Callithrix jacchus: one gene and its partner. The protein of the gene in region 1 interacts with the protein of each later gene in a pairwise test. Links are inferred from orthologs where the notes say so. Each region holds a gene or a part of one and is shown in the gene's direction. Other genes may lie near its edges.

Region 1 (16,221 bases):
AAGCCCCTCATCAGATAATGTTTGAAAGTACTAGCTTTTGGCCAGGCACAGGGGCCCGCACTTGTGGTCCCAGCATTTGGGAGGCCAAGGCAGGAGGATCGTAAGACTGACCTTGGCAACATGGCAAGACCAGATCTCTACCCGAAAAAGACGTAAGGAGCTGGGCATGGTGGCACACGCCTGTAGTCCCAGCTACATGGGAGGCTGAGGTGGGAGGCACGATTGAGCCAGGAGGTCCAGGCTGCGGTGAGCCGTGATGGCACCACTGCACTCCAGTCTGGGTGACAGTGAGACCCTGTTTGAAGGAAAGGGGAAAACAGGGGCAGAAGTGAAAACTGACAACAAAGCTATCTGTAGCAGAGAAGACCTACAAGTCTTTTCTAGACCAAATAATTGGCAACCGTTTTTTAGCTTAGTTGAAAAAAGGAAAGAATGAGCAAAGAAATACTACTAGGTGTGAAGAGAGGGACAGAACTAGAGATACCCCGGCCTGGATCTCAGCCAGAGGGAGACCCGGCCTTTTTTTTAATGAGACAAGAGTTTCGCTCTTTGTTGCCCAGGCAGGAGCACAGTTTAAGCAATCCTCCTGCCCCAGCCTCCTGAGTAGCAGGGATTACAGGTGCGTGCCACTCGCTCAGCTCATTTATTTTGGGCTAATTTTTGTTTCTCGTAGAGACAGGTTTCACCATGCTGGCCAGGCTGGTCTCAAACTCCTGAGCTCAGGTGATCCACCCTCCTTGGCCTCCCAAAGTTCTGGGATTGCAGGCACGAGCCACTGTGCCCGGCCAAAGTTTAAGACTTTTAGAGGCTGATGCTAGAGGATTGCTTTTAGCTAGGTCAAGACAGCCCTGGCAATGTAGCAAGACTCCTCCACTACCAAAAAAACTAGTATGTCTGAGATAGTTTTCGCCTTCAGTTAGGTTTTTTATCCACTTTTGAGTTCATCTTTGTATATGGTATGAGGCACTTTTTTTTTTTTTTTTTTTTTTTTTTTTTTGAGATGGAGTTTGTCTCTTGTTGCCCAGGCTGGAGTGCAGTGGTGCGACTTCTGCTGGCTGTGACCTCTGCCTCCCGGGTTCAAGCAATTCTCCTGCCTCAGCCTCCCAAGAAGCTGGGATTACAGGCACACACCACCATGCTCAGCTAATTTTTTGTATTTTTAGTAGAGATGGGGTTTCTCCATGTTGGCCAGGCTGGTCTTGATCTCCCAACAGCCTCAGATGATCCACCCACCTCAGCCTCCCAAAATGCTGGGATTACAGGTGTGTGCACCACCTCGCCTGGCTAATTTTTGTATTTTTTGTGGAGACAAGGTTTTGCCCTGTTAGACTCCTAGGCTCAGGTGATCTGCCCGCCTCAGCCTCTACCCTTAGGGGATTTTGTTATCATTGCTTTGCTTTTTTAAAGGAGTCTTGCTCTGTCACCACGCTGGAGTGCAGTGGTGCAATCTCAGCTCACTGCAGCGTTTGCCTCCCGGATTCAAGCAAGTCCCCTGCCTCAGCCTCCCGAGCAGTTGGGGCTACAGGCATGAGCCACCACACCTGATTTTTGTATTTTTAATAGAGACAGTTTCACCACATTGGTCAGGCTGGTCTCGAACTCCTGACCTCAGGTGATCTGCCTGCCTCAGCCTCCCACAGTGCTGGGATTACAGGCGTGAGCCACCACACCTGGCCCACTCTTAACGTTTTTTTAACCAAAGGTTATATTATCAAAAATTAAAAGATTTGTCTAGGGTAATCTTAAAGACTAGAATTGTTTCAACCAGAGCAGTTTTGCCCCCTCCTTCCCCTAGATGCTTTGGTTGTCATACCTGGGGGTGCTGCTGGCACGGAGTGGGTGGGGGCTGGGGATGCTGCATGGCACCCTGCAGTGCCCAGGACACACCTGCCAGTGAGCAGTCAGGCCTGGAACACGGGCACCTCCGAGGAGGAAGTCCTCCTGTGCTGCAGAGGACCTTGGCCTGGGTCTCAATGAGACACTGCTGGCTGGAATGCTGCTTTATTCGATAAGGAACCATGGTCCTGCCTCACTGAGTCCGTTAGCCCTTGGGGCCCTGGTGTGGGGCGGTGACAGTGCTGTGACTTGTGCCCTCTCAGTTCTAGGCACAGGGGCAGAGGTGGATTACCTGGAGCAGTTTGGAGCTTCCTCGGTAGGTACTGGGCAGCTCTGCGAAGCCTCCCCTGCAGGGTGTGCTGAGGGCAGCCCCGACAGCTCTTCACCCTGGAACGTCCCCTGGTGCCCATGTTCCCCCAGCTGCACATGGGCCCTGGCCCTTCTGCTGCATCTCTAAGTGGAGTCCTATGGTTGTGGCCAGGCCCTCCCCCAGCACTTGCCTGGGATGAACTCTGACACCGTGCTGCTAGGAATGCAGGGCTTCGGGTGGGGTTGCGGTGACCGGAGGTGGGAGTATGTGTGTGACCTCCCTGGCCCTAGCCCCAACGTCTGTGCTAGGGGATGGCAGTCAGACCTGCTCAGTTGCCCTCTTGTCCCCAGTTTAAGGAGTCGGCCTTGAGGAAGCAGTCCTTATACCTCAAGTTTGACCCTCTCCTGAAGGACAGTCCTCAAAGACCAGGGCCCGTGGCCACAGAGACCAGCAGGTACGCAAGCCAGCCCTCCCCGGGCATGAAGTCTTGGGTGTAGGGGGACGGGAGGCTGTTCCTATGTGTGCTGTCTGCAGAGGCTTCTAGACCAGGGTGAGATGACCTGAACTAGAAAAGAGGCGTGGTGAGGAGCGGGCAGGGCGGCGAGCCCAGAGCAGCAGCCTCGTGTGGCAGGGGCCACATCAGCCCAGTGGGAGTGACAGCAGCCGCCCTCCAGTCACAGAGCTACTGCCTTGCTGGTTACAGCCACCTGCCAGGTGGATTAAAGAGCTAAACTTAAATGTTTTTAATGTAGCTCCTCTAAAGCAGAAGTCAGCAAACGATGACCTGTAGGCCAGACTTGGCACCTGTTTGTGTACATAAAGTTGTCACAGAACCATGCCCATCCCTTTGAAAATTGTGGCAACTTTCACACTACAAGGGCAGAACCAAGTAGTATGACAGAGGCCTGACACGGCCTGGCCAGTGGCTCACACCGGTAATCCCAGCACTCTGAGGCCGAGGCAGGCAGATCACAAGGCCAGGATTTCAGCACCAGTCCGGCCAACATGGTGAATCCCCATCTCTACTAAAAATACAAAACTTAGCTGAGCACGGTGACGGGTGCCTGTAGTCCCAGCTACTCGGGAGGCTGAGGCAGGAAGATTGCTTGAGCCTGGGAGGCGGAGGTTGCAGTGAGCCGAGATCACGCCATTGCACTCCCATCTGGGCGACAGAGTGAGACCCTGTCTCAAACAAAAAGAAAATGAGCCTCCAAGCTGTGAGGGCCCCCAGATGAGGCATCAGCGGCCCCACTCAGCCTGCAGTGGGTAAGGAAGCATCACAGCTCTCCAGAAGGATGATCCGCCTTGTGGATGGGGACGTGAGGGAAGGGCTTGGGGCAGCAGAGAGACCGGGCCTGCTGGACGTGGGCCTGCGTTTTCTGCCACCGTCCTGACTTGAGTGGTTTAAACTAAAAAGCAAAGAGCCCGGTTGGCTTGTCCGCATGGTCCTCTGTGTCCTGCTCAACACTGGGAGGGCCTGAGTGACCGAGGCTGCCTCCACTTGGCAGCAGCACGCACGGTGTGGAGGAGCCTCCCTCAGGAAGTCCGCGGGAAGCCACCCTTGTGGAGTTGGATTTCTTGGGAGCACTGGATGCTCCGGTAAGTACTTCAGTCCCTCTTGAACCATCCACCTTGTGGTCTGAGGAGGCAGGTTGTTTTAGGGCCTATATTTCCTATTCCTGGGGGTCTGAAGTCTTTGGCTCTGTCATGGGTCCCCCACTGCACTGTCTGAGGCTCTTCCCTCCCTCACACCAGGTCAGAGGTACGAGAGGCAAGGGTGAAATGGGCTCATGGTTCATCCCCATCTCCCACAGGTTCCAGACCCACCCCCAGGTGTCCCTGCACCTGGCGGCCCACCCCTGTCCACCGGGCCTATAGTGGACCTGCTGCAGTACAGCCAGAAGGACCTGGACACGGCGGTAAGGACACAGGTGGTGGCTACTCCACAGAACCTGCAGGCCACTCGGGCTTGGCCAACAGCAGGCACAGGTGGGGTCCAGTGGCCTGACCAGCTGTCCCCGCCATCCCTGCCCCTGCTGGTTGGGGTGGCATTGCAGAGAGCTGCTGACCCCTGGCCTGTCACTGCTGCCCAGGTCACTGAGGCTCCAAGCTTCCACCCAGTGTCCCCACAGCCAGCTGCCCACCGGCTGCCTCCACAGGGCTCTCCAGCCTGAGCGTGTCATTCACCCCAGCAACCTCTCGCTGCGTTAAAGCTGAGTGCTGCCCCTTCCTGCTGCCCTTCCACAAGTCCAGACGCATCTCTGGGCAGCTTAGGAAGCGCCATCTCCACCCGCCCACATCTGAGGGTCCCCTGCCCGTCTCCCTCTATCCTCCCATACACGCCAGGCTTCAGCCCGTCCTAACTCCAGGTCTAAGTTGTCCCTACGAGAGCTGTGGGCACCACTGTGAGCCAGATAATCCCTGGGGAGGTGGGGACAGGGTGGCTCCGGACGCTGGCGGCAGGGCTGGGCACGAGCCCCCACATCTGAACCAGTGTCGGTCACGGCAACCCCAGGTGTCATCTTGGGCCTGTGACACGATCCTGACCCGGTTCCCCAACACCCCCTTCCTGGTGTTGGAGCCCATGCCGTAACCCCAGAGCAGGCTTAAGGACCACAGCGTGGCCAGCCCTCCCCTCTGCGGGCCTGGGCTCCCCATGCAGGTGGCCCCTGGGGGGTGGACGCAGGGACACACACCCGCTGGGCGCCTGCTGGTTCTACCCAGGAGCACAGCCCACAGCCCCATGCCTCCTGCCCCCTGGCGACTGAGCACATGTGGAGCAGGCAGCCTTAGCGTCAGTGGGGCTCCCAGGGTCCCGCTGAAGGCCCACATGGAACTGCGGCTCTGGACATTGCTCCAGGGACGTCGGGGTGGGCCGGCCCCACGCTGTGGGGAGGTCCTGGGAGGGGTGTCCAGCCCGCCTGCCTGCTGACTCAGGTGTGGCCTGAGCAGGTGAAGGCGGCACAGGAGGAGAACCAGGAGCTGAGGAGCAGGTGTGAGGAGCTCCAGAGGAAGAACGTGGAGCTGGGGTAAGGAGGCCCCGCCTGCCCCTGTCCCCACCCGGCCTGGGGCTGCGGCGCATCTGAGGCCATGGATGTGTCTGCTCGCCTCCCACAGGGTGATCATGGACAGGTTCGAGGAGGTCACATACCAGGTCATGGGTAAGTGCCAGGCCACCGAGGACATGAGGGGCTGCCTGCACCTCAGCCATGCCCTGCCCCGCACGCTGCCTAGGGCCCCACTCTCCTGAGGCCACTCTTCCTAACCCACAAGGCCCTTCAACATGGCCCAGCCATGGAACCACGAGGCAAGCTGGGGGGAAGCTGGCGGTCGGTCAGTGCAGCTCACGGATCCACAGAGCCAGCCTTCCTCAGACCCCAAATCTGTGCAGATGCTGAGCTAGCAGCAGGGCTGGGGTGGGGGCAGATGCCACCCCACACCTGCTCACACCTGTTGCCCTCCTCTCCTCCTGGAGGCTCACACCTGCTGCCCTCCCCTCCTCCTGGAGGCTCACACCTGCTGCCCTCCCCTCCTCCTGGAGGCTCACACCTGCTGCCCTCCCCTCCTCCTGGAGGCTCACACCTGCTGCCCTCCCCTCCTCCTGGAGGCTCACACCTGCTGCCCTCCCCTCCTCCTGGAGGCTCACACCTGCTGCCCTCCCCTCCTCCTGGAGGCTCACACCTGCTGCCCTCCCCTCCTCCTGGAGGCTCACACCTGCTGCCCTCCCCTCCTCCTGGAGGCTCACACCTGCTGCCCTCCCCTCCTCCTGGAGGCTCACACCTGCTGCCCTCCCCTCCTCCTGGAGGCTCACACCTGCTGCCCTCCCCTCCTCCTGGAGGCTCACACCTGCTGCCCTCCCCTCCTCCTGGAGGCTCACACCTGCTGCCCTCCCCTCCTCCTGGAGGCTCACACCTGCTGCCCTCCCCTCCTCCTGGAGGCTCACACCTGCTGCCCTCCCCTCCTCCTGGAGGCTCACACCTGCTGCCCTCCCCTCCTCCTGGAGGCTCACACCTGCTGCCCTCCCCTCCTCCTGGAGGCTCACACCTGCTGCCCTCCCCTCCTCCTGGAGGCTCACACCTGCTGCCCTCCCCTCCTCCTGGAGGCTCACACCTGCTGCCCTCCCCTCCTCCTGGAGGCTCACACCGCTTCCCCCTCCTCCTGTCCTGGAGGCTCACACCGCTTCCCCCTCCTCCTGTCCTGGAGGCTCACACCTGCTGCCCTCCTCTCCTCCTGGAGGCTCACACCTGCTGCCCTCCCCTCCTCCTGGAGGCTCACACCTGCTGCCCTCCCCTCCTCCTGGAGGCTCACACCGCTTCCCCCTCCTCCTGGAGGCTCACACCTGCCGCCCTCCTCTCCTCCTGGAGGCTCACACCTGCCGCCCTCCTCTCCTCCTGGAGGCTCACACCTGCCGCCCTCCCCTCCTCCTGGAGGCTCACACCTGCCGCCCTCCCCTCCTCCTGGAGGCTCACACCTGCCGCCCTCCCCTCCTCCTGGAGGCTCACACCTGCCGCCCTCCCCTCCTCCTGGAGGCTCACACCCGCCGCCCTCCCCTCCTCCTGGAGGCTCACACCCGCCGCCCTCCTCTCCTGGAGGCTCACACCCGCCGCCCTCCTCTCCTGGAGGCTCACACCCGCCTCCCTCCTCTCCTCCTGGAGGCTCACACCCGCCGCCCTCCTCTCCTGGAGGCTCACACCCGCCGCCCTCCTCTCCTCCTGGAGGCTCACACCCGCCTCCCTCCTCTCCTCCTGGAGGCTCACACCCGCCGCCCTCCTCTCCTGGAGGCTCACACCCGCCGCCCTCCTCTCCTGGAGGCTCACACCCGCCTCCCTCCTCTCCTCCTGGAGGCTCACACCTGCCGCCCTCCTCTCCTCCTGGAGGCTCACACCCGCCTCCCTCCTCTCCTCCTGGAGGCTCACACCTGTTGCCCTCCTCTCCTGGAGGCTCACACCCGCCTCCCCCTCCTCCTCTCCTGGAGGCTCACACCCGCCTCCCCCTCCTCCTCTCCTGGAGGCTCACACCCGCCTCCCCCTCCTCTCCTGGAGGCTCACACCCGCCTCCCCCTCCTCTCCTGGAGGCTCACACCCGCCTCCCCCTCCTCTCATGGAGGCTCACACCGCTTCCCCCTCCTCCTCTCCTGGAGGCTCACACCGCTTCCCCCTCCTCCTCTCCTGGAGGCTCACACCGCTTCCCCCTCCTCCTCTCCTGGAGGCTCACACCGCTTCCCCCTCCTCCTCTCCTGGAGGCTCACACCCGCCTCCCCCTCCTCTCCTGGAGGCTCACACCCGCCTCCCCCTCCTGTCCTGGAGGCTCACACCGCCTCCCCCTCCTCCTGTCCTGGCACTGGAGCCCCTTGCCGCATTCCTGGGGCTGTGTTGGCACTCTGTGTTTCAGTCTCCGCCTCCTGAACGTTTGCTTTTCATTTCTCAAGAGGAGGTTCAGAAACAGAAGGAACTTGCCAAAGCCGACATCCAGAAAGTTCTACAAGAAAAAGACCAGCTGACTGCAGATCTGAACTCCATGGAGAAGTCCTTCTCTGACCTCTTCAAACGCTTTGAGAAACAGAAGGAGGTGATTGAGGGCTACCGCAAGGTACGTCCCCGCCACCCGGTGTCCTCCCCGCAGAGGCTGGCAGGCTCACGGGCCAGGCCAGCGGGGCTGCCAGGTGCTGTCTTTGCACCTCTGTTCTTGGCCGAGCCTCCCCTTGTCACTCGGGCCTGGGTAACTTGTGAAGACGCAGGTGCAGGAGTCACAGCCTAGCCGGTTTGCAGAAGGCCAGGTGAGCGGGAGGCCGTCTGAGTTCCTGCCGCCGTGTGAAGGATGACTTGGCTGTGACTGAGTGCCTGTGAGATGCGAGACTGCGTGGGTGCACCGGGGTATGGGGCATCTCGGAAAGGGAGTCAAGCCTGGGCTGTTACAGCGCGACCTGGGCATGTGTATCCCAGGCAGGAGGCCCACACAAAGGTGGGCACACTGTGCCAGGCTACCCCAGTGTCCTGGCCGCAGGCCTCTGAGCCCCCTCCGCCTTCTGTGCTGGGCAAGGCCCACAGGCTTGCTGGAAGGAGGGATGTCTGGGCCACCCATCTGCCCGGAGCAGACCTGGGAGGGGCTGCGAGGCCGCCAGACGCTTCTGCCCTCAGCAGCAGAGTTGGAGCGGAGGTGCTCACCGCCTGCTGTCAGGAGCTGGGCCTGTGGGCACACCTGGAAGAGGGGCTGACAGTGGGGCTGCAAGGGGTTGGGGATGCCAGATGGGGGCCCTGGAAGTTGAACTCGGCTAGAACAGGGGCCCTTGTGGGGCCTGGCTGAGCCACACCTTCTCTCAGTCCTGATGTCAGGTAGGCGCCAGTGGCCGGGGCACAGCTGCCTAAGAGAAGCAGCCTGGAAAACTAGGAAAGAACCTACGGAAAACCACATCTTCCACCTTCAATTGCTGCTACAGAGTTTTAGATCAGTATCTGGCACAGAATCACTAGGTATGAAAGAAACAGGAAAGGTGATTGAAGATCAGAACCAGCTATTAGGGTGAGGCATGGTGATGTATGCCTGTGGTCCCAGCGACTCAGGAGGCTGAGGTGGGAGGACCACTTGGCCCAGGAGGCCGAGGCTGCAGTGAGCTGTGATTAGATCCCTTCACTCCAGCCTGGGCAATAGACCCAGACCCCCGTGTCTAAAATAAAATAAAAAAAAAAAATGTTTAGACCCACGGGATTCCCAGGCGTTGGAGCTGGCGGCAGAGTGCCCACCGCAGGGGTGGGCCCCTCACATGGTGCCACTGGCTTGAGGACACAGCAGCTTCACTGGCCTTCCCTCAGCTTGGGCTGTGCTCCGAGCTGCTGTCCTGGCCTCGCCTCTCCCCGGGGCAGGCCTGCGCCTCCATTCCCGCCGGCCACCTCCCCACTTTCTCATGGAGGCCTCTTTGTACATCTAAACCCATCATGGAGGACCCAGTGCAGACTCAGACTTGAAGGTAACTGTCTTCCATGTTCAGAAGAGCATTGCCGGGCTCGCTTCGGCGCATAGAAGAAAATCGGGGCCGGGCGCGGTGGCTCACGCCTGTAATCCCAGCACTTTGGGGGGCCGAGGCGGGTGGATCACAAGGTCAAGAGATCGAGACCATCCTGGTGGGCACGCGCCACTGTGCCCAGCTAATTTTTTGTATTTTTAGTAGAGACGGGGTTTCACCTTGTTGACCAGGGTGGTCTTGATATCTTGACCTCGTGATCCACCCCCGGCCTCCCAAAGTACTGGGATTACAAGCGTGAGCCACCGTGCCCTGCGAGGGGATATTTTTAAAGGAAAACTGGAGGTGCTGCCTCATGACTGGTGACCCACAGGTCCCTGGACACCAAGCCTGGGTGCTCTCGCAGATCATGTGGTGCCCACAGCTAATGCCTGCCCCTTCCTAGAATGAAGAGTCACTAAAGAAGTGTGCAGAGGATTACCTGGTGAGGGTCACCCAGGCAGGCCAGAGGTACCAGGCCCTGAAGGCCCACGCCGAGGAGAAGCTGCAGCTGTGAGTGTTGGGCCCACAGAGGGAAGAGTCTGGGCACCTGGGCCCAGCTCAGCTTCTGCCCTGCCCCTGCTCCTCCTCCTCCAGGGCAAACGAGGAGATCGCCCAGGTCCGGAGCAAGGCCCAGGCGGAAGCATTGGCCCTCCAGGCCAGCCTGAGGAAGGAGCAGATGCGGGTCCAGTCACTGGAGAGGACCGTGGAGGAGAAGGTGGGTGCGGGGAGCCTGGCCCATGGGGCCCTGTGGCAGCAGCTTCTGGAAGGCCCCTGGGCCTGCTGCTCCCTCCCTAACTCATCTTCCTCCTCCAGACTAAAGAGAATGAGGAGCTGACCAGGATCTGTGACGACCTCATCTCCAAGATGGCGAAGATCTGACCCAGAGCTGCAGCCCCTCCTGTCTGTCCGTCTGTCCAGTTCTTTTAGGTGTCGTTTTCTTGTTCTGTCTAAAGCTAGATTGCTTTGAAAAGATGACTAAATAAAGTTTCCTTTTGGTGTAAACTGAAGCTGCTCTGGTCTCAGTGAAGCAAAGGGTTCTCTGCTCGGCCTCAGGCAGGGACCGCCAGTGGCTGGAGGCGGCTCAGGCCTGCCCAGTCTACCCCTGCCAACTTGGGTCAGCCACACAGTTCTGGCATCAAGTGCACCCATCAGTCCAGACAGACAAAAACCGTGAACAGCCAGGCGTGTGTGATGCTGGAGCCGCCCTGGAGAGCCTCAGCCCCAGCTAGCTGCGCCTCACCTCGGTGTGGGTGCGGAGGGAGGCCCCTGCGGTGCAGCCGCTCAGCTCCCATCAGCCTTCAGAGCAAAGCCGGCTTCCCTGAGGAAGTCCCGTCTCCAGATGGCAGGGTTTCCTCCCCAACCCCCAGCCCCATCTCCAGCAGCCCCGTCCTGCAGGTCTCACACTTGCACAGGTGCACTGGAGCTCAGGCCACTTCCAGGAGCCCTGGCAGAGTCTCCGCCCAGCTGGGGAACCCCAGGAACTCTGGGCACAGAGCTGAGAGATGCTGGCTGCCAGGTTCAGCCATGGCACCTAGGACCCTAGCACGAACCAGAGGGCCAGGACCTCCTAGGGCTGGGTGGGACTGAGAGTGACCGGCAGCTGGTGGTGCTGCTGTGTCAGAAATCCCCACACAGAGGGACTCAGGCCTACATCTGGCTGCAGGAGTGTCTGAGCCCGGGGGTCCCAGTCCCAGGACCTGTTCCCAAGGCTCTGTAAGCTGCCCTGTAGGCCTGGTGAGCAGCAGCCCAGGACTGGCCCTCGGTTGGGCACAACATCACTCCCAGCCACCGCCAGGGGTCGCTGCCACCACAGACCACGCAGGGACCGGACCAGGTGAGTGACACTCTGGAGGGCGGGGCCGGGGTGCTGGGAAGCCACGTGGACCGCCAGGGAGGCTGAGGAGCAGGCGGGGCTTCAGCCTGGGTGGCCACTGGGGTGTCCCCCGGGTGGGGAGGTGGGTTCTTGCATATTTGGAGGAGGGACCCTGGCACAGGGACAGAAGGCCACAGCAGCAATGGCCAGGCATGGCTGGGGCACAGACTGGATGGGCCTCAGAGGGCTCTGGGAGCCATTCCTCTCTCCCGCCATGGCCACCCATGCTCATGCAGCACCTCCTGACGGCCTCATGGGACCATCGCACCCCTCCTCTCCCCAGCAGGGACCCCCCCCATCTCAGCCCTGAGCCTGGGTGACGATAGGGGGCAGTCCTTGGCTGAGAGCCTCTGAGGGCCTGCCACGGCCACTGCACAGACAAGACACTGAGGCACAGGCCAGTGACCATTGGCTGGGGGAGGTGGGCCAAGCACAGGGTGAGGTTCCCTCTCCTGCTCAGGGCTGAGGATATGGGGGAGCAGCAGGGCCCTGGAGCCTCCAGAGGTCACCAGCTGCCTCCCCACTGCCACAGGCACGTCCGGCCTCAGGGCTCCCAGCTCCCTCTGCAGGGTCAGGTCTGCTCTGCTGAGGTCTCAGGACACGGGGCAGCTGCCAGGTCCTCCTCAGCCCTGCCGCTCTGGCCTCCTGGCTCCTCCGACAGCTGCCCAGGGCCCTGTCCCCCACTGGGGCCTCTCTGAGCCAAGCCTGGAGCCTGCTCTGAGAAGGCCATGTGGGGCAGCTGGACGTGTCGGGGCAGCCGGCCGGGCCTGGGGCTGCGCCGAGGACACCGGCCACCGGGCAGCGTCCTGGGCTGGGAGCCTCTTTCCCAGGACAAAGGGGCCTTGTGTGGCTGAATGGGTGTTTATCCTGGAGCCTGAGTTAACTCAGGGCTGCGAGGCCGGGTGGGGGCCCTGGCAGTGGCCTGCCTGGTAAACATGACCTGAGCTGGGCATGCAGCCGTGGCCTGGACTTCCGCAGCCCGGACCCCTGCACGGCCACGAAGTCGCCCTGTGGGCCTTCCGCCAGGACGGGGGCTCAAGGAAACAGGAGCTGCCCTGGGATGGCCTCTGTGGGAGTCCTCATGCACAGTCCTGGAGGCAGCGCTCAGCTGGCTCTGCCCTTCCCACAGCTCAGGGCAGGGCTCAGAATCACTCCCAATGTGCCCCACTGAAGGGAGGGGTGAGGGTTAGGTGAGGTTGTGAGGGTGAGGCCCTGGTCTGCTGGGATTAGTGTCCTTTCGGGAAGAAGGCGGACCGGGACAGTACTTTGGAGGCACCGACCCGCCAGCACCCTGATCACGGACCTGGCACTTCCAGAACGTGGAGAAACGCGTGTCTGTGGTGCAAGCCGGCTGGTCTCAGGCAGGACGAGACCCCGTCATCCAAGGGGCTGCCCAGCCTGATGCCCACCCACTGCCCAGCTGCCCCTGCAGCCAATATCCGAATCCCAAGGGCAGAGCAGGGTTCAGCCCCACGTGGAGAAGCCAGGTCTGTGAAGCACCCCCGCCCCTCTATCCCTAGGAGTAGAGTCCGCAGCTACCTCCCTGGGCTGGTCAAGATCCTTTCAACAGGGTCGGTGGAGCCGCATCGCCAAGCTGACTCCCACGCTCCCGCTCCCCAGGGCTCGCAGGCCACGGGGCTAGATGGAAGAGAGGGTGGGCGGAGAAGGAGATAGGTCAGGACAGGCTGAGCACAGCCCGAGCGTTCCCTGCCAGGTCCTCGCTGTGGCCATCACCCTGCCCTGGCCAACCTGAGTACACCAGCCCCCAGGCAGACTCAGGTCACCCTCCCATGGGCTAGGGGGCTGTCCCCAGTCCAGGCTGAACCCCAGACCCCTCTAGGTCCCTCAAGGTCCACGGCAGTGAGGGTCACTACAAGCCCAAGTGGGTGCCAGAGGTCCCTCCTCCAGCCCATCACTCCACCTTCTGGGAAGGACGCCAGGGTCGGCACTCAAGCCCAGGCTCCGGGCTGCCCTACTGGGCTGAGCAAATGTCCTTTGTCTCTCTTCTGGAGGTCTGCAGGGCAGGAGCACTTTGGGGGAAAGCCCTGTCCCCACAGGGCTGGGGCTGGACGAAGTCGGAGGAGGGCTTCTGCCTGAGCCTGGGCCTTCTTTGGGGTGCACTCAAGTAGCAGGGTTCTCACCGCCTGTGCGGTGGTTGGAGGGGTTGAACCTGTGTGCCCTGGCTGCCCCGGTGGTCTGGGGAGCCCAACTCCTGGGGCTTCTGCCTGAGCCTCTGGGCCCCAGCAGCCTGCAGGGGGTGCCATTGGGCCACCGGAGCCCCTCCTGTGGACCTGGCGCAACAGCGCTCAGGCCCAGCCATCCCCACCGCCCCACGACCGGCCTCCAGGAGGGACCCCCACCCTGGGACGACGAGGAGCCACCTGGGCCTCCACCTGGCCTCCCCACAGGGTCTCCCCACTTGCCCCCTCCCCACCTCCTCCCTCCCCACCAGCCCCTCGCAACCAGCCTCCTCCCCACCTTGCCCCCTCCCCACCTGCACCCTCCTTACCTGCACCCTCCCCACTGTGCCCCCTGCCCACCATGCCCCCTTCCTACCAACCCCCTCCCCACCTCCTCCCCACTAGCCCCCTCCCCACTAGCCCTCCCTGCTGCTTTACCGCCCCTCTGTCCCCTGGACCCTGTGCACTCATCAGGCCCCTGGAGGTTTATGGAGGGCAGGGCTGGGGGCAGCACACCAGGCACCCTCACAGGCTGGGGATCTGGCCTAGCCTGGTAGGCGGACTGTAGGATGGGGGGTGAGGGCTTAGAGCCCCTGCTGGCGTCGGGGGTGGTGGGGCCCCTGCCCTGTGTCCCCTCTGTCCCCAAACCCCATTACACGTAAGGCCCCACCTGGCTGAGCTCACAGGGGGCTCCGGAGCCCACTCTGCAGAGAGAGAGGAGGGGGCGGGGGTGCACTTGTGTTTGCTTCTGAGGGAGACCGGGCTGAGCAGGGCTGTTAGTGAGACACTCAGGCCCGGGGGCTCCGGGCTCCCATGTGGGCCAGGGGCTACCTCAGCTCAGGAGTGGTGGCCCAACCACTAGGTGTGCAAAGGTCCCATGTCCATCCACACTTAAGAGACCTGGAATGTGAAAGGCACTCAGGCAGAGCCACGGTGTGGGCACCATCCTCAAGGGGGTGTCTGCAGAGGTGCACCGGTGTGGGCAGAGCCGGGGTGACCGTGAGCCCAAGGGGTTCCCAGAGGGAGTTTCTTTCCAGCCTGGGGATGGGTCCAGGGCAGTGCTGAGGAGGCCAAGCTGCCAGCATCCTATAGGGCCCAGCAGCAGAGGGGAGTGCGAATGGCTGGGCTTGTGCCCAGGACCCACCCCTGCCCCTGCATGCCCAGCAGCTGAGGCCACACCTCGCCTCGAGCATCCTGACAGCAGGGCCCACTTGGTGCCAGGCAGTCCCAGCTGGGGTGGGGTAGGGGCCATACAGCTGGCCCTGGGTAGATCTTCATCCCGACCCCCCACACCCACCCTGGAGCCATGTCTCCATCTGCCAAGGTGGGGGGAGAGAGAGAGAGGAGGGGGCAGAGCCCTGAGATTCAAAGGTTTCCCCACACACAGTCATTTGTTCACACATCAAACGTGTGCTGAGCGCAGTCTGTTCCCTGCACTGTTCCAGGTCCTGGGCATGGCGGGACCGACCAGTTGCAACAGCTTGTGAGAATCTTCTGGCTTGGGGTGGGGTGGGGAGCGGCAGTGAGAAGAAATCAGAAAACACACAGGTGCAGGCACACACACCCACTCCATGGAGCCTGTCGGCTGGTGACAAGGCCACGGCGGCTTGGAGGGTGAGGAGAAGAGGGAGTGGGGGTCTGGGGTGGGTTCCAGGTGCTGCCCTGTGGCCAGAGGGGTCCTGCTGCTCCCGTCAGTGTTCTCCCCGGCCACACATGGGGGATCACCCACCTCTGTCATGCTCTGCACCAGGGCCCCGACAAGTTCAAGGCCGGAGCAACAGGGCGGTTGGCCTGGTGGAGCCGGTCCCAGGCCTGCTCAGCCCAAGTTCCCGTGGTGCAGGGCTGCGTCGGAACTGGCTCAGCTCACAGGAGCAGATGGGAGCTACATCCGTCCTTCGAGGCCAGTGGCTAGGCCAGCTCTGTGCTCACTCTAGGACCGAAAGTGGCCCTGTGCCCTCTCTGTCCTGGGCCCAGCAACCTTCAGGCTCTTCTGGACAAGGAAGGAGGCCTCATTACCCCCAGGGCCCACCCACAACCCCACCCCAGATGGACTGGAGCTGTCTGGTGGCTGGTCCTACGCCAGGCCTGGCAGCCCGGGCACCTAGTAGGCCCAGGGTGGGAGCACTTCGAACACACACCGCACTGGGGAGGACACGAGGAATGAGAAATATGCAGTTGAGCCGTGCACACCAAGCCACCGGCCCACAGGCTCACACCCACAGCACCGCCAGAGCAGACCCCAGACTGCAGGGACCCCCAGCCGTTCCTCCCTCCACCCAGCGCCATCCTTGCTGGGGATGCCCATCTGTATCCCCCTACCATGCCAGGCTTCCTGGCTCTCCAGGCCTGGAGGTTCGCACCTGTGTCCGCCAAGCAGGGAACTGCTCCCAGGTGAGTTCCCTTTCCCCACCCCCAACCTGTGCCTGGAGAAGCTGGGCCTCCCTGAGATCCACGCCCTAGAGCTCAAGGGCCTTTGTGACCCCCAACGCTGGCAATGAGGCACAGGCCCCAAAGCCATGCTTCTCACCCGCCTCTGTGGGGTCAGCACTCTGGACAACCCAGGACACCACGGAGGGCCTTCCTGGAGGTAGCAGCTCCTGACCTGGGCCCAGAGCAGGAGGGAGCGTGGCCAGGCTGGGCCCTCTCCTAGAGGAGGCTGGGAATTCTGGTTAGTGCCCGACCTGCCTCCCTCTCAGCTGTCAAGAGAGTCCACGGTGTTCCCCTGGAGGCTGCCCCTGGCCGGAGGGCAGCCCAAGCTGGGCAGGTTCAGGCTGGATCTCCCCCACCCCAGCGCGCCCACGACGCAGCTCACTTCCCTCTACACCAGGTGCTGGCTCCTCTGCCAGGAACATGAGCTCATTTCACCCTCTCGGGCAGGGCAGGGCAAGGCAGACCCCAACCTACAGGTGACATGCCTCCCCTCCCTGCCCGAGGTGATCCACGCAGCTGGTGAACAGGGACCCCCCCTCGCCCCAGAGGGGCTCTGGTCCAGGAGCCCAGGACATCAAGCAGAGCCCTGCCG
Region 2 (15,688 bases), on another chromosome or scaffold:
TAGATACAGCCCCCTGTATGCCTCTTACAGATTTCATGCCCCTTTTCAAAGATAACCTAGATCAATTCCTTCTCTGTTGATGAATGTGGGTCTTTTTTGTTGTTTGTTTTTTGAAGACAGAGTTTCGCTCTGTTGCCCAGTCTGGAGTGCAGTGATGATCTCGGCTCACTGCAACCTCCGCCTCCTGGGTCCAAGCGATTTTCCTGCCTCAGCCTCCCAAGTAGCTGGGACTACAGGCACATGCCACCATGGCAAGAGTATAAATTTTTTTTTAAATTTTCAGTAGAGACAGGGTTTCACCATGTTGGCCAGGCTGGTCTCAAACTCCTGACGTCAGGTGATCTGCCTCCCCCGGCCTCCCAAAGTGCTGGGATTACAGGTGTGAGCTACCATGCCCGGCTGATGAACGTAGATCTTAAGAAAGATATTGTTTGGGTTTTATTGTTCCTTTGATTTAGCACTGTCTTATAACACCATTATTTTTTATACTTGTTCACTGCAAGTATATCACATCTCAGGCATTTTAAGGGTAAAATAAGTGTTGATTGGCGTCTTTTACTATCTAATCTTTTTTTAAAAATGGTATTGTTTATATTAGAAAACATGGTCCAAGTCCCAATCAATCAATCCACTCGTAATTTTTCCAATAATGGGAGGGGGTGCTGTCCAACTAATAACTAATGAAACAAATTATATTCTGCCTCCATAATAGATCTTTGTTGGTTTTTAAATCATTGTGATCTTTAATGATCACAATGTGATTGTCACTTTAGTGACAATCATAAAAATTACCAATGCATTAATGACAAAATCTAGCCTTAAAAATGGAAGTAAACTGGTAATTTCTCGTACAGTTAGGATGTGGTTGAAGAAATGCACAGCCCCAAGAACAATATTAACAAAATGATACAAGCAGGGCAGGTTTGTGAACCTAAGGATCAAATGCTTTGTAAGTCCTAGAACTGTTTTGGTTTACATGTCATTCTTTTTCAATTAGTGAAATAAAGTGTCTTTGAGTTGTTTCTGTGTATTGAAACCATGTACACATTTAGTAAATGCTAGGGTTAAATCTCTCTCTTTAGATAAAATCTTAAAAGTAAGTGATTTTCAAAGTTTAAAAAAGCTCTACTAGAAACTCCTTAGCTAAGAGTCTAATGAAGCTCAGAAATACTTTTTTTGATCTCTTGGGTAAATGGCTAATTAAAAAGCCGCATGTAAATGATGTTTACCTGTGGGTCCCTGTGCTGTCAGCGAGTCAATCCCTTCTCTTGAGTAAATACATCATCAAAGCCGTAGAAACTCAGATTATGTCCCCAGGAGACCAGATAAGGTCCACAGTGCCCGCATAACCCATTAGGCAATTACATAATTGAGCTGCATGCTTTTAAATCAGAAAAATTTGTAATTACTTTTTGTGGAGAAAAAATGAGTTGGGTGTTTCATTAAAATACAAAATGCCTTAATATTACTTTTCTCCCAATGGATATCTGTTTCCACTCTGGAGAACTTTGTCACAGCAGAGCAACTTGCTGGTGACACTCATAGAGTAGATCGGGTCCTGCCCTCACCATACACACAGACCAGTTTTATTCACCAGGAAGATGCTTTCCCCAAATGCTGGACTGTTTTCTTGTTCTTATCTCCTGCATACTTATTTGCTAGGTCATATAAATATCTTCCCAATTTAAAAAAATTGCTACACAGATAAAATCCCTTCATTCCCTTTAACTTAGAACTTAAGTAATGATGCTTGCACTTTTCTTTAAAGACCAAGGAATTACTTCCAGTGTCCAAAAGGAATGTTCTTGAACCTCAAGGAAGAGTCAGCTAAATCTGCATATTAGGGGAAAATATCTGCTGTCCACATGCATGATTTTTAATTATTTTACTTTTCTGTGTCTGTATTAGTAACACTGGTTTGCACATAGAAGGGAATTTCATTTTATCAGGTGCATTTGCATTCATTTTCTCTTTGTATTGGTACCATGAATAGCAGAAATTGGATTTCTTTAGAGCTAGCATATGTTTTTTTTTTTAAAAACAAGCATTAAAAAATCTTGAAATAGTAAGGTAAACAAAAAGAAGAAAACTGGTCATGATCCCACTATTCTGCTATTTATATATAACCCTGTTAACATTATGATGTGTGGTTTTTAATATTTAATATATTTATTTGGGAGGCCAAGATGGGTGGATCACCTGAGGTCAGGAGTTCGAGACCAGCCTGGGCAACATGGCAAAACTCCATCTCTACTAAAAATAGAAAAATTAGTATGATGGCACGCACCTGTAATCCCAGCTATTTGGGAGGCTGAGGCACAAGAATTGCTTAAACTTGGGAGGCGGAGGTTACAGTGAGCCGAGATTGTGCCACTATACTCTAGCCTAGATGACAGAGTGAAACTCCGTCTCAAGAAAAAAAAAAATTCAGTATGTTGAAAAACATAGGTTGCATTATTTGTACACATCACCTTGTTTTGTTTATCCCCATATGCTGCAAGGTGAATTCTTTCATACCATTACCTGTTCTATTTACATCATTTCAAATGGCTTTCTAGAGGTCTACTGTCACTTCAGTCATTTACCTGTTGTTCAACATTTTCTAATTTTTCCTCTAGTAAAAAAGTTTCCAAGAGTATCTGTGCAATTCAGATTTTACAGATATCTATAATATTTCCTTAGAATGAATTCCTAGATGTAGAATTATTAGGTCAAAAGGTGGGTATATCTTTCAGGGTTTTGCTATGCATAGCCAGATCTCACTCTAGAAGGGTCATCAGAGTTACCAGGAATGGATGAATAAATCATTTCTCTGAGTTCTTTATGAAATTGTATACTATCAACTTTTTTTTTAGGGGCACCAATTTGAGAGATGAAAATGACATCCAATTTTTTTGTTGTTCATTTGACCTTTTTATTACAATTGAGGTCAAACTTTTTCTCTACCTATTTATTAGCTATTTGTAGTTCTTTTTTCATAATCTGCCAGCTCATGTTCTTTGCTCATTTTTCCATTAGGTTAGTAATATGTTTTCTTATTGACTTGCAAAAACTTTTAACATATAAATTTGGACATTTTGTTGCAATATTTTTAGCAGTTTAATTTCTGTCATTTTTCTTAATGGTGTTTTGGACACAATGTCGTTTCCATTAATATCTTCATCTGTCTGTCTGTATGTTTGAATATCACAACCATTCAATTTTTGGATATAATTTAAGAGTCAGCCTAGATGATTCTTGGGGTTCTAGACATAGCAAGATTAATACTTAAACTGAACATGGAGGAAAATTCTGGTAGAACTGAGCTAATAATTAAAGGAATAGCACTGTAGGTATAATTCATTGAACGATTTATCTGCCATAATGTCTGAAATATGGAGGTATCAACATCAGTCATTCCACAAGTAGTGTGTGCCCTGACATTTAATTTCCAAGCCCTTTCTCCTGACTCCTGGGAAGGCTGAAAAGTGAGAGGGTGGTTTGTTGGTATTGACTTAGGCTTTGGACTGCTGAGAACAGTGAAACAATCTCTGGTTATCTCTTCTGGGCTCCGAATGTACATGATTCAAAGAGAGCCTTTATTAGTAACAGGTAAGTTGAAACCCATGCATTGGTCATTCATAAGCACTATCAGAAAGCCTGTGGTAAAATTGTTGTCTGGTGATATTTTTTCAGAGAATTAGCACCAATTTGCAGAACTCATTGAGTCCCAGCATGAAATTTAGTAAAGCAACCTGTTAACTCTTCTCTGAGCTTCCCTGTGGGTTAGTGTCATCAGTCTCAGATTGTAATCTCCTTCATATTGGAGGTTTCCTTAGAAATGTACTTTTCTGGAACATCTGCAAACAGTACATCTTGAGAATGTGTTACAGATGTTTTCCTGACTGCAGAAGTTGTTTTTGCCAGGCGCAGTGGCTCACATCTATAATCCCAGCACTTTGGGAGGTCAAGGAGCACAGATCACCTGAAGACAGTAGTTCGAGACCAGCCTGACCAACATGGTGAAACCCCGTGTCTACTAAAATTACAAAAATTAGCCTGCTGTGGTGGCACACGCCTGTAATCCCAGCTACTTGGGAGGCTGAGGCACAAGAATCACTTGAACCTGGGAGGTAGAGGTTGTAGTGAGCTGCAATCACACCACTGCACTCCAGCCTGGGCGAGAAATGAGAGTCCGTCTCAAAAAGAAGTTGTTTTCGACTAAAAATCTATGACCTATTCTTGTCTATCCTTGTCTGAGGCTACTTTTGTCTTTGTCCCTGCTTATCATCTTTGATGAATTATCTATAGAATTATCTTAAAAGATATGTTCTTTTATAAACATTTCTATCAAAAAAGTAACAGAAATCCTGGAGATAAGTATTGAGTAGTAAAGATAAATGGGATAAAATACAGATAGTCCCAGACTTCCAGTGGTTCAACTTACAACTTTTTGATTTCACAGTGGTGTGAAAGTGATAGGCATTCAGTGGAAACCATACTGCAAATACCCATACAGCAATTATATCTTTCATTTTTAGTATAGTATCCAACAAATTCCATGTGAAAATCAACATTTTATAATAAAATAGGCTTTGTCTTACCCATCTGTAGGCTAATGTGAGTGTTCTGAGCAGTTTAAGTTAGGCAGAACTTAAACTATGATGTTCAGAAGGTTAGGTGTGTTAAATACGTTTCCAGCTTACCGTTTTTTCAACTTGTGGTGGGTGTATTGGATGTGACTCCTTCATAAAGTCAAGGAGTGTCTGCATGCAAAGTAAACTAAACTAGCAGTGCAGTGTGCTCGCCACAGTGCTTACCTCACCATGGAGAAAGGGCTCAGTGTAGAACTGTTAGCAATGGCGGTATTCTTACCAAGCATACTGGGACTCATTGGAAAGGTGTTCATGGTAGATTCCAGAAGCAGGTACAGTGCAGTGGTCCTTGTAGGCAATTGGGAGGGGGGGCATTGATTGTAACCAGCCTTGGCCTAGGCTTCAAAGGCAGGACCCTATGCCTTCCCCTTAGTCTGCAGAAATGGGCATACTGAGCAGGTCATCCCAACAGAGTTATCACAGTGGAGTGAAATCCAGGGAGTAGTTTCTGGAAACAGAGGAAAAGCCCCTGGTCACTAGAACTGTACCACAGAAAGGTCCTGGCTGCAAGGCTAACTTGACACCAAGTTCTTTGGCCAAGGGGACTAGAACTCCTTAAATTCCCCTAATCAGCTGTTCTAGCTCCTAGGGTAGGCCATGGGTCCAGGAGGTCAGCCAGTCCTAGGGAGGGCAGAAGGCAAGAACTCTGCAGGGATGTCAGGACTAAAGGCAGTTGCCTTTTCTCCACCTCTAAATTTGGCTCTGATAAAAACCTGTGTCCTCACCCTTGCTCAGGACACATGATGTATGTAAGTAAGACAATGCCTTTGAAAACAGATAAGCAATGTGGTGGGAGAGTTCCCCCAGATCCCGCGCCAACTTAGAGGCAAAGTGCAGACCATGTTCGTACTTGATTGAAGATTGGGATTTAGAATGAGGCAGCTATCTTTGTGCTCAGTGCATCCTCTTCAGTTACAAATGTTTCTGCAGTCTTCTTGTTTAGGGGAAGTGTATGGGTCATTTTTAGGAGGATATGGATATTGCAAGGTCACATCTTTCCAGATCTCTTTCCCGGTTCAGAGTAATTCTGTCTGACATGCCTGGAAAATAGGATTCATGTAATGACAGAATAAATTTTTTCTTCAGAAAGGAGGTCTGAGGCTCTGCCATTTATATATATCAAAGGGAGGATAAACCTGCCCAGATTAACAGAGGTAGTCACATTTCATATGCATACTTCACAAGCAGAAAAACATTTCTGCATTATATAAGATTCAGCCCTCAAAAAGTGTATTATTGTGAGGGTAACTTGCAAGGAATTAGATTATAGTAGAAAATGACCAGGTGTTATTTATCTTGACATTTAAATTTTATTTAAATGTAGGAAACAAATTAAATCCTAAGTAAAGCTTAACATAAAATTATATTTGAAGGCTACGTCTTTGAGACCAAGGGAAATGTGGCTGCAGTTTTTTATTTCTTTGTGCTTTTTTTTTTTTTGAAATACTATAGGCAACAGCATTATTGAGAAACGCCCTTACAGAAGAGTGTGGCCATAGGTCAACTGTTCACAGTAGTGAATCATCTTGCAGCTTGTCATCTATTCTGAATGACAATAGTGGAGTGAAGGAAGCTAAACCTGCTGTATGGCTCCACAGTGTTCCTACAAGGGAACAAGGTAACTATTGTTAAAGTGTGTGTCCACAGCAAAAAGGCATTCAGGACCATCATCCTTCTCGAGGTATACCTATGGACTATCACTGACTAGAGAATACCTCTGATTTTAATATGCATAATATGTTATTTGTTTTATACCATCTTCCCTTTAGTCTAACAGGAATGGGAAATCTAACTGTAAGTCTGTAGTTCTAGTGACTTTCTAACAAAATAAGTATGAAGAAATTGGGAAATCTTAACAAAACTAATCACTTGGCAGTAGATAATTTTTTTCCCACAAAGATGAAGATGATTCCATAAAATACTGTGAAGTTTTTGATATCACTTAGTGGAATTTACTCATAATTGTAAACATACCTTTTAGTTGTAATAGAACCTTGTCAGTATCCAAACAGTTGATTAAGAATCAATGAATTTATGCCCCCAAAATTTACTAACCAGTTTTGAGTACCCAGAAACTGTTATTATTTTAGCATTACTGCTAAGACATGTGGTTTTCCAAGACAGCTATGAATTCCTCAGGAATTGCTCGAGTCGATGTAGAAGTGCAGGATGTGAGACTTGCTTATTTCATGTCTAACCCAGATTTGATAGATGTCAGGGCAAATTATTTTGCATGAAAGCAACATAGAGTACCTTTATTTAATTTTATTTTTAAATTTTCATTTATGAGATGCCTTAATTTTAGAATAGGTTTCCTTTTAGTAACAGTGTTATTTCAGACAAGAAATACATTAACAACAACAAAAAAAAGTGAACATGAAAGGAATGGCAATTAAACATCCAAAGGATCTATTTCTTAACTTTGAAATCATTTTTATTACTATACATCCAATTTTTAGAAGTTTCAAGTGGCTGTGGAGACAAGAACAAGAAAGAAAATGTGGCTGCAGATATCCCAATCACAGGTAAAGCTATGGCTATATAAGAGGTTCAAACACAGAATTTAGCATTGTTGTATAATCAGAACATTTTTGGTTAGTGATTTTTGGACCCCACGAAGAGCAAGTGTATTCAGCTACTGCGTGCTGGAGCAGGAGATCAGTCATAAGGGCAGAACGTAAATGCTTATGTTAACATAAACTAAGGTGGAAAATCACCGTGTCTGCTGAATTCTTCCTCACCGTGTTACGTATTTACATCTGTAACATCCACCAGCACGCACCCTTTGCACCTGCGTCTGTGTGAAACGGTCCATCTCCCTGGGGAACACCCAGTCATTACATAGCAAACTATAGATGTGTCTGATTTTACTCTTTTTTTTCCTGTTGTAATTGAATATGTATATTAAAATAAGAGCAGGAAATTAAGAAAAAAAATGCCAAATAGGAAGCTTGCGTTTGCCTCAGTTAAAAACCTGTCTGATAATTTAAAAGTTGTACCAATCAGGCTTCATCAAGACCTATTAAGATTTCTGCACATGTATTAGGCTTTTTTAGGTGGAATCTGAATGATATCATTATTTTTTTTCTTTTTAGAATATCAACAGCAGCAATTAGTATTCTGTACAGAGTTCTATTTGTCATAGTCTGAATTTACTAGTACCTTGTTTTGTAAAGTGGTGTACTACTTCATTATAAATTCAAAGGTCTGACTTTAAATATTTATACAAGTAAATACACCATTGCATCAAGGTACTGAGGCATGCATCTGCATATGTGGTAGTTTTGTTTTTGTTTGTAAGCAGAAAAGAATGATTTGCTTTTATGGCAGAGTGCAGTTCCTGGCATGATGATTAATTTTTTAAACTCATGTTCCTGTGATGAACTCTGGTTTTGAAAACGGAGTTTATGGAAGAACAATTATTGTACATATTATGCATCCAGATAATATTTCACTCCAAAATGCAGGTTTTTTATAATTTTAAACATTTTCCCCAATGATATGTTCATAGTGTTTTTAGTTTTCATTTTCAGAAAAATCTGATATGGGTCCCTGTTATTTTTATTAATAGAAATATAGATGATCCCAAACTACAGATAACCAAGAAGTCGTTTGGATGCTTTTCCCTTGCGTTTACCTTTGGATGCAGAAGTATCTAATGGCCTCTGGATTTATTTCAGTTAAAATTATAAAAGCTTGTTGAGGAGAAACCAGGAAATGACGTAGTTGTTCATTCTTTCTTCTCTTCTCACCATTCTTTACAATCATCCCTTGCTGGGAGTAGTTGACTCTCCCTAAAGGTAATGCAAATGTGTTTTCTCACAGACTTTCTTTGTAAGAAAACCGTTAGTTAAGTACCAGGGTTTCAAATCCTCCATTATGCAGAAAGATGTGCAGTATGCCTAGAAGCAACCTGGGCTATTTGCCATTAAGATTTTAAAAGAAATTGTAATTCTAACAACCTGCCATTGATTAATCAATAGTTGGCAGTTTTTAAAAAATGTGTTGTGCCTATTTTGTGCCAAAATATTAGACAAAAAGAAAACCTTTTGAAATAAAAAAAAAAAATTAGCAAAGCCATACACTTTGTTAAAGTGTTGCCGTTCTGTCCGTGCCAGTGCACTCTCCCCACCCCGGGACGTCCCATGACATTCATGTTTGAGGGCCTCATGCACCTTGGCACTGCTAATACTGTTGCTTTGTCCATCACTGTGGCTACTTTGGTCTCTGAGGTCCTGACTATCATCCCTTTATTAAACGTCTGTGACTGTGGGAGATTTGGCTCTCGGTCGAGTAAAGCGAGCACGTAGTTTACGGCGGAGTCCGCCTGCCTCTTTATACTAGTTCTGCTGGGGTTTCCTGTTTGGGCGGGTGCATGCTGGATGTGTATGTATGGGCTGCATTCCTTCTAGAATATTCCAAAGAAAAGAAATATTGCTGGGGGTTGAGGAAATGTAGCAGTTGGGCTGGGGCTTTGGAACGAGCCATCATTGTCAGCTCTTTTACTCCTTGCTCTGTTTCTCCACCCTCTCTGAGCCTCTGTATTGGGAAAGCAGACATACTGCCCAACAGAATTATCTTACAGTTTAAATGAAATCATTTGTGAAAGTGCCGAGCAGATACTAGACACTCAATTTTATCTGTGATGTAGGATAATATTCATGTGAACATGATTAGAGTTCTCGGTCTTCCGTGGCCCCCGCAATCCCCCGCATTTCCATGCCAGCTATGAGGAAGCCTCACACAGCAAACTGAAAGAGGAACAGAAGCAGAGAGTATGGGGGTGCAGCGTGACAGATGAACCCCCCCGCCCCAGAAGAGTGGACATTTCTAGTCTGTTCCTGTGGACCTGCATGCCTTCCCCGAGCTGTGGTAGCCACTTGGGACCAGGACCCACGCAGGCACAGCGCTGCTGCAGTACCTGCAAGACAGTACTTCCCGGTGGTCCTGCTATGTTAGTTTCTGCAAGAAATTGCCACTTGAGAACACAGTTGAGATTCAAATCCAGAAGGATGTTTACATTATCAAAAAGGAATCTCAAGGAGAGTTTGATGATACTTTCCAACTTCCAACTTCCACTTAGTCCCCTGAGGAAATCCGTTGAGAAAAATCCCAAACAGCTGCTGAAGTACTCCTGAAGATCTCATGAGTCAGGGCCCAGACATCTCTGCCTGGGGGTGCCTATGGGCCCTTGGTAACCCCTATGTACTCATAGTGGAAGACGTAGGGTATCAGGTGGAAGACCTCCCCTGATGAGTGTGCTGCCCCACAAGTATTGAGCTAATGCAGCATTTCCCGAAATGTGTTCTTTGCAATGCTCCACTCAGAAAATACATCAATTAACATATTTTGTTGTCAAGCCCTGTATGACCCTTCTCTCTCTCTGCAGTATGCATAATGCATAGAAGCATAGTGAAGACTTAGACGACTTTCAGCAAAGGAATTGTTTAAAAGTGTGATCCTAGAGTTTGAGATGACTTATGTTTTTGAAAATAGAACTCTTCCTAACATCCAACAGAATTAATGTTCTGTGGCGCATCCTTTGTAAAATATACACACATATATGTGGAACACTTTTTAAAGCAGTGAGTCCAGTGGGGGCACCAGTCTTCTCAATACACTAAAATTATCTTCAAAGTGTTCCTATGGTTTCATTTTGTGGGAAGCTCCTTTGTGGCTGAGATTGCTTTGTAGTGAGGTTTGGGGCTACTGTAGTGTAACTACACTCAGATGTTATGACTGACAGCTGCTCGTTACCGCTTCTCCTTGAATTGATGAGGAGGTTACGGTAGTAACTAACGTAACTAAAGGTGCCCAGAGGTGCCGTTCTTCAGTGTGGGGTCCTTCTGTGTGTCTTTACTTGCTTTTTAGCCATTTCAGAAGAAGTGTAAGAGAAGACGTGGCTGAGGTGAAATCTGGGAAGTCACAGGGGGTTGGGGTGGGAGGCTGTGAAGTCACCGTTATCAGAATGAGGGGGTCCTGGGGAGGTTTAACCTGGGAAGTAAGTGCACAGTAGCTCTTTAAATATTTGAGGAGCTGCCATATACCAGGCAGAATATTTATTGAGCTTAATTATAGAGAGTAGCTCAGTAACAAAACAACTTTCTAGCTCTTCATTTCAGCAAAACCAGGTTCAATACCTTCCAGATGTGAGTGCTTGAACCATGGCAAGAACCATGACTTTTTTTTTTTGGAACACTTTTTAAAGCAGTGAGTCCAGTGGGGGCACCAGTCTTCTCAATACTGGAGACAGGGTCAGGGTTTTGCTCTGTCGCCCAGGCTGAAGTGTATTGGTGTGATCACAGCTCATTATAGCCTCTATCTCCTGGGCTCAAGTGATCTTCCTTCCTCAGCCTCTCAAGTAGCTGGGACTGCAGGCATGCACCACCATGCCTGGATAATTTTGTATTTTTTATGGAGACGGGATTTCACCAGGCTGGTCTCAAACTCCCGAGCTCAAGCAGTCCGCCCGCCTTGGCCTCCCAAAGTTCTGGGATTATAGGCATGAGCTACCTTGCCTGGCCCTGTGACTTGCTAAAAGAGGCATTTTGGAAGGAATTCTTGTTTCTGTGACCCCTGACATCCATTCTAATGCCAAGGGACTGTGCTTCTTACTCTTTGCTAAATGGAATACAGTGTGCCAGCATTCTTGTGTCTTCATTTCCTTTCTCATTTGCTCATCACCCCAAATGGAGGTTATCTTGGCCGAGGGGCTCCTCCTTAAAGAGTCAGCTATCACTTTGAAGGCATCTGCCTTGTTAATCATTATTATGGAACATGTGAGTTTTCTGTGTTGAGATTTACATAGAAACTCTCCTGGTCACACACTGCTGCCCCAACTACACACATAAAGTCAGTATTCCATAGCCTGTATGATCTGTTGTTGTGAGTATAATCTACCCCTTTTATTAGTCTAGTTGTTGTTCACTAAAGAATCTGGTGGAAATCAAAGATGAATTTTTATGTCTCTAAATGTATGGTTTTCTGTATATAATTAATATATAATTAGATGTATTGATACATATGTTAGTTATAATCATATATAAAATCCTTAATTGTATTAATTAATATAATTAATACTTTTACTTGGGCTGAATCCTGGGATACCAGGGACCACAGAAGATGGGATCCCTGCCCTCGCTAAGCCTCCCTCATCTCTAAGCTTCACAACAGTCCTATAGGGTAAACATTATTACTGCCCTACAAGTGGTCAAACAGAAACTTAGAAAGGTGTCTGCTCAAGGCCGTGTAGTTAGTGTGATAGATTTTGAATTGAACTCAGACTTTGGGATTTGGGTCCCTGAACTTCTTCCATTTCACTACTCTACCTCTTTTATTTTATTTTATTTTATTTTATTTATTTATTTGTTTGTTTGTTTATTTATTTATTTATTTTTAGACAGAGCCTCACTCTGTCACCCAGGCTGGATTGTGGTGGCATGATTTCGGCTCACTGCAACCTCTGCCTCCTGGGTTTAAGCAATTCTTGTGCCGCAGCCTCCTGAGTAGCTGGAATTACAGGTGTGTTCCACCATGCCTGGCTAATTTTGTATTCTTAGTAGAGATGGTTTTGCCCTGTTGGCCAGGCTGATCTGGAACTCCTGGCCTCAAGAGATCCACCTATCTTGGTCTCCCAAACTGCTGGGATTACAGGCATGAGCCACCATGCCTAGCCTACCCTGCCTCTTTTATTTTACCAAAAAGACAACTGCATCAGGGTATGAGGACCAATTAAACATCAGCATACATTGTAACAGAAGATGAGCATTGCAAGGCTGCTTCTGAGAGCAAAGATAAACAAAGATTGCCTTTTCTTTCTCTTGGGTTAGGCCTGGAGAGGTGGTCAGCTTGCAAGGATTTTCAAACCGGCTTGTCCCAAGAGGTATGCCTTTTATAAAGTAGGACAAACCTGAGCCCAGGTGGGCTGTTGGGAAGTCAGTTTCCCTGAAACACTTCCTGACCTAATACTGTAGGTCAGTTTCCTGAAACACTCAGGCCATGAGAAAAGTGATACTTATCTAGATTGGGAGAGAAAGTCTGTCTTTTGAACTACTTATGCCTCCAAAGTGAAAACTCCCCACATGGACAATTTTGTTTGTATTCACACTAAATTTACCTTTCAGCATTAAGTGAGTTTTAGTTTCAGCAGATGCTGCGTCTATGCTAAATGTCATAAAAACCCAGCACCTAGCACAGTATCTGGCACAGAGTGGGCACTTAATTTGTCAAATGAATAAAAATAGGGCTATTAAGGAATTTTCTTGAATGCTTGTTAATTCAGGACAGAATACTATCTCTTTCCATCATTCACTCCACCAATACTTTTCCCACCCCATGTGCCCATCCTGGCTAAACTAGTCTCCTTAAGCTCCATGTGAAAAGGGCTCTCAGCTTTTATCTCAAGAAGATTAAGCCTCTAAGAATGTCCATTCAGCCTCTCATTCTTTTGACACCAATTCTCTTGGTCAAGCTGTGTTGAAAGTGGTTCCCTGACTGTGCCATTCCTCATAGATATTCTTTGGCAAGTGTAAATTTGCAAGGTAATGCTGAGACATCCATTTAGAATATTTCCAGTAGGTCAGCATAGATTTAGAGGGTGCCACTTGGAGTTCTAGGCAGTGCTTCTCAAAACACGATTGCATGAGTTTTACATCAATTTGGAAAGGGGCTGGAAAGATATAAGTGGCTAGGTTGTCACTGGTGACTTGATTTATCCTGAGAGGAAAGCACAGTGGCATAACACTGCAAGTACTGAGGCTTTACCGAGAATGTGCTTCACCTGTCCTGTCCCAGAAGCACTTTCCTGACAAGAATCAGTCAAAACATGTTACCTATTGTCCCTGAGACAGGAAACCCCAGCTTGTGTAAAACCAGAGGAATGCACCATATGTTGCTGGATTGTCCGTTGAAAATCCACGTGGCCATCTCTGTGCCAGGGATCAGCCTGCTGGGGCTTCACCCACGGAGCCGGCTACCTGCTACTTGCAGTAGCAAAACATTCCTCATTATATTGCAGGGCAGTGCTGTTCATTTAACATGGTCATTAAAGAATAGAAGGTACCGGCCGGGCACGGTGGCTCACACCTGTAATCCCAGCACTTTGGGAGGCCGAGGCGGGTGGATCACGAGGTCAAAAGATCGAGACCATCCTGGTCAACATGGTGAAACCCCGTCTCTACTAAAAATACAAAAAATTAGCTGGGCATGGTGGCGCGTGCCTGTAATCCCAGCTACTCGGGAGGCTGAGGCAGGAGAATTGCCTGAACCCAGGAGGTGGAGGTTGCGGTGAGCTGAGATCGCGCCATTGCACTCCAGCCTGGGCAACAAGAGCGAAACTCCGTCTCAAAAAAAAACAAAAACAAACAAAAAGAATAGAAGGGAACTTTCTGAATGGTCTTCCTGACTGGATGCTTCTACGTTCAAGGAGATGAACTCATAAATGCTGAGAGAAATTCTCCCCAGTGGTTCACTGCAGAATCCCATGTGGAGTTTTAGAACATGCCCATGCCCCAGCCATACCCTTGGCCAATTATTTCTGCACCTCTGGGGGTGGGACCCAGGTATAACTAACTACTTTATAACACATCCAGGTGAATTCTTAGGTTTGAGAACTGCGGAGCTGGGGTCCTGGTTCAGAAGAGCCCTTGTAGGTCCTGTTGTGGAGCTCCCTCATTTTACATAGGAAACTAAGAGAGAGACGAAATCCAGCTTTAAATATTTTAATAAATGGAGGATTGGAGCGTATTATTTTCCTAGAGCTTTTAGAACAAAGTCTCACAAACTGAAAACGACAGAAATGCACTCTCACAGTTCTGAGAGCAAGAAGTCTGAAGTCCAGGTGTCAGCAGGGCTCTTGCCTCTGAAGCTGCTGGCTGGTGGCTCCTGCCTGTGGGAGTATGAGCCCCATCTCTGCCTTTGTCTTTACTTGGCCTTCTCTTCTGTGTCTCTGTATCTGCTCTTCTTCTTAGAAGGACCCCAGAAGTTGGACTTAGGGCCCACTATAAATACAGAAGGATTTCATCTTGAGAACCTTAATTAATCTATGTGTAAAGAACCTATTCCCAAATAAGGTCACATTCTGAGGTTCTGGGAGGCCATGAGTTTGTTGGGTTGAGGGGAACAGCACTATTCAACTAACTACAAGGAATATGGACTTCTTCATATTTTACATTCTTAGCATCTAGCTCATCTTCTATAGTAATTATTTCTGAACCTACTATAAATAATGGTAAAGGTAATATTGTCTATTTCTAATTTCTCTCATTAAATAAATCGTTGAGTACAAATGGCTAAAATATACTGTTTTTTAAAAATCTATGTAAATATATCAATAAAATACAGTTTTCTGATTAAGATTACTCTAGCTCTGAAAAGTCAAAGGTTTTTTGAGGTTGAGAGTTGAAAATTCACCTCTCCTGACTGAACAGTGTTAAATGGCCGGCACTGTGGCTGTATATGTGGGAAGTAATACCAAGCGAAAGTGTTTCCGCTCATTTGGGGAATGCTGGTTAAAGGTCAGTTTCGAGCCTGGAATTTGTTTTCAGGTTTAGTTGTTAAGTGCCCCATAGATATTAATTTGTAATATAAATCTCTGTTTTCTGAAGCAGCCCCAGGCGACCCCTGTGATTTAGGCTGGTCTCTTCTTGTGCATCAGCCCTCTTCCTAGGAGCACAGAGAGCAACCTTGGCAATAGAACTTGCAGGTCCAGGTCTGCTGGTGGAGTGGAGTTTGTTGCAGAAAGTCTGGGCCTAAAAACTGATTCTTGTTATGGACCCAAGTGATGGACATAAAAAGTGATTCTTGTTATGGACCCCTTGTTATGGAAGATTTGTGTATCTTCCTGCCTTTTAAAAAAATTCCTAAATATAGACGACTTTTCTATATTTTGACAATTGCAAAAGCAGCCATATCTTATTTTCTCTCTCTCTATTTTTTTTTCCCAGAAACAAAGTCTTGCTCTGTCACCCAAGCTAGAGTGCAATGGTGCTATCTTGGCTCACTGCAACCTCCACCTCTGGGGTTCAAACGATTATCGTACCTCAGCCTCCTGAGAT

The links.
Region 2: the proteins of TACC3 (region 1) and KIZ interact in binary tests that used the Homo sapiens proteins (3 or more experiments, as listed by UniProt). The two-hybrid records come from large-scale screens. The link is inferred for Callithrix jacchus from reciprocal best matches to the Homo sapiens genes TACC3 and KIZ.

Annotation. Positions count from the first base shown.
Region 1 is NC_133504.1:191,399,153-191,415,373, reverse strand, and holds the end of TACC3 (transforming acidic coiled-coil-containing protein 3), read left to right. Parts: intron 1-2,099; coding exon 2,100-2,152; intron 2,153-2,496; coding exon 2,497-2,600; intron 2,601-3,654; coding exon 3,655-3,745; intron 3,746-3,960; coding exon 3,961-4,065; intron 4,066-5,098; coding exon 5,099-5,175; intron 5,176-5,263; coding exon 5,264-5,307; intron 5,308-7,574; coding exon 7,575-7,735; coding exon of another isoform or gene 7,736-7,903; exon of another isoform or gene 7,904-9,110; intron 9,111-9,549; coding exon 9,550-9,656; exon of another isoform or gene 9,657-9,662; intron 9,663-9,740; coding exon 9,741-9,861; intron 9,862-9,959; coding exon 9,960-10,025; 3' UTR 10,026-10,148; downstream 10,149-16,221. UniProt on the Homo sapiens protein: Plays a role in the microtubule-dependent coupling of the nucleus and the centrosome. Involved in the processes that regulate centrosome-mediated interkinetic nuclear migration (INM) of neural progenitors.
Region 2 is NC_133506.1:28,236,376-28,252,063, forward strand, and holds part of KIZ (centrosomal protein kizuna), read left to right. Parts: intron 1-6,086; coding exon 6,087-6,252; intron 6,253-7,093; coding exon 7,094-7,159; intron 7,160-15,688. UniProt on the Homo sapiens protein: Centrosomal protein required for establishing a robust mitotic centrosome architecture that can endure the forces that converge on the centrosomes during spindle formation. Required for stabilizing the expanded pericentriolar material around the centriole.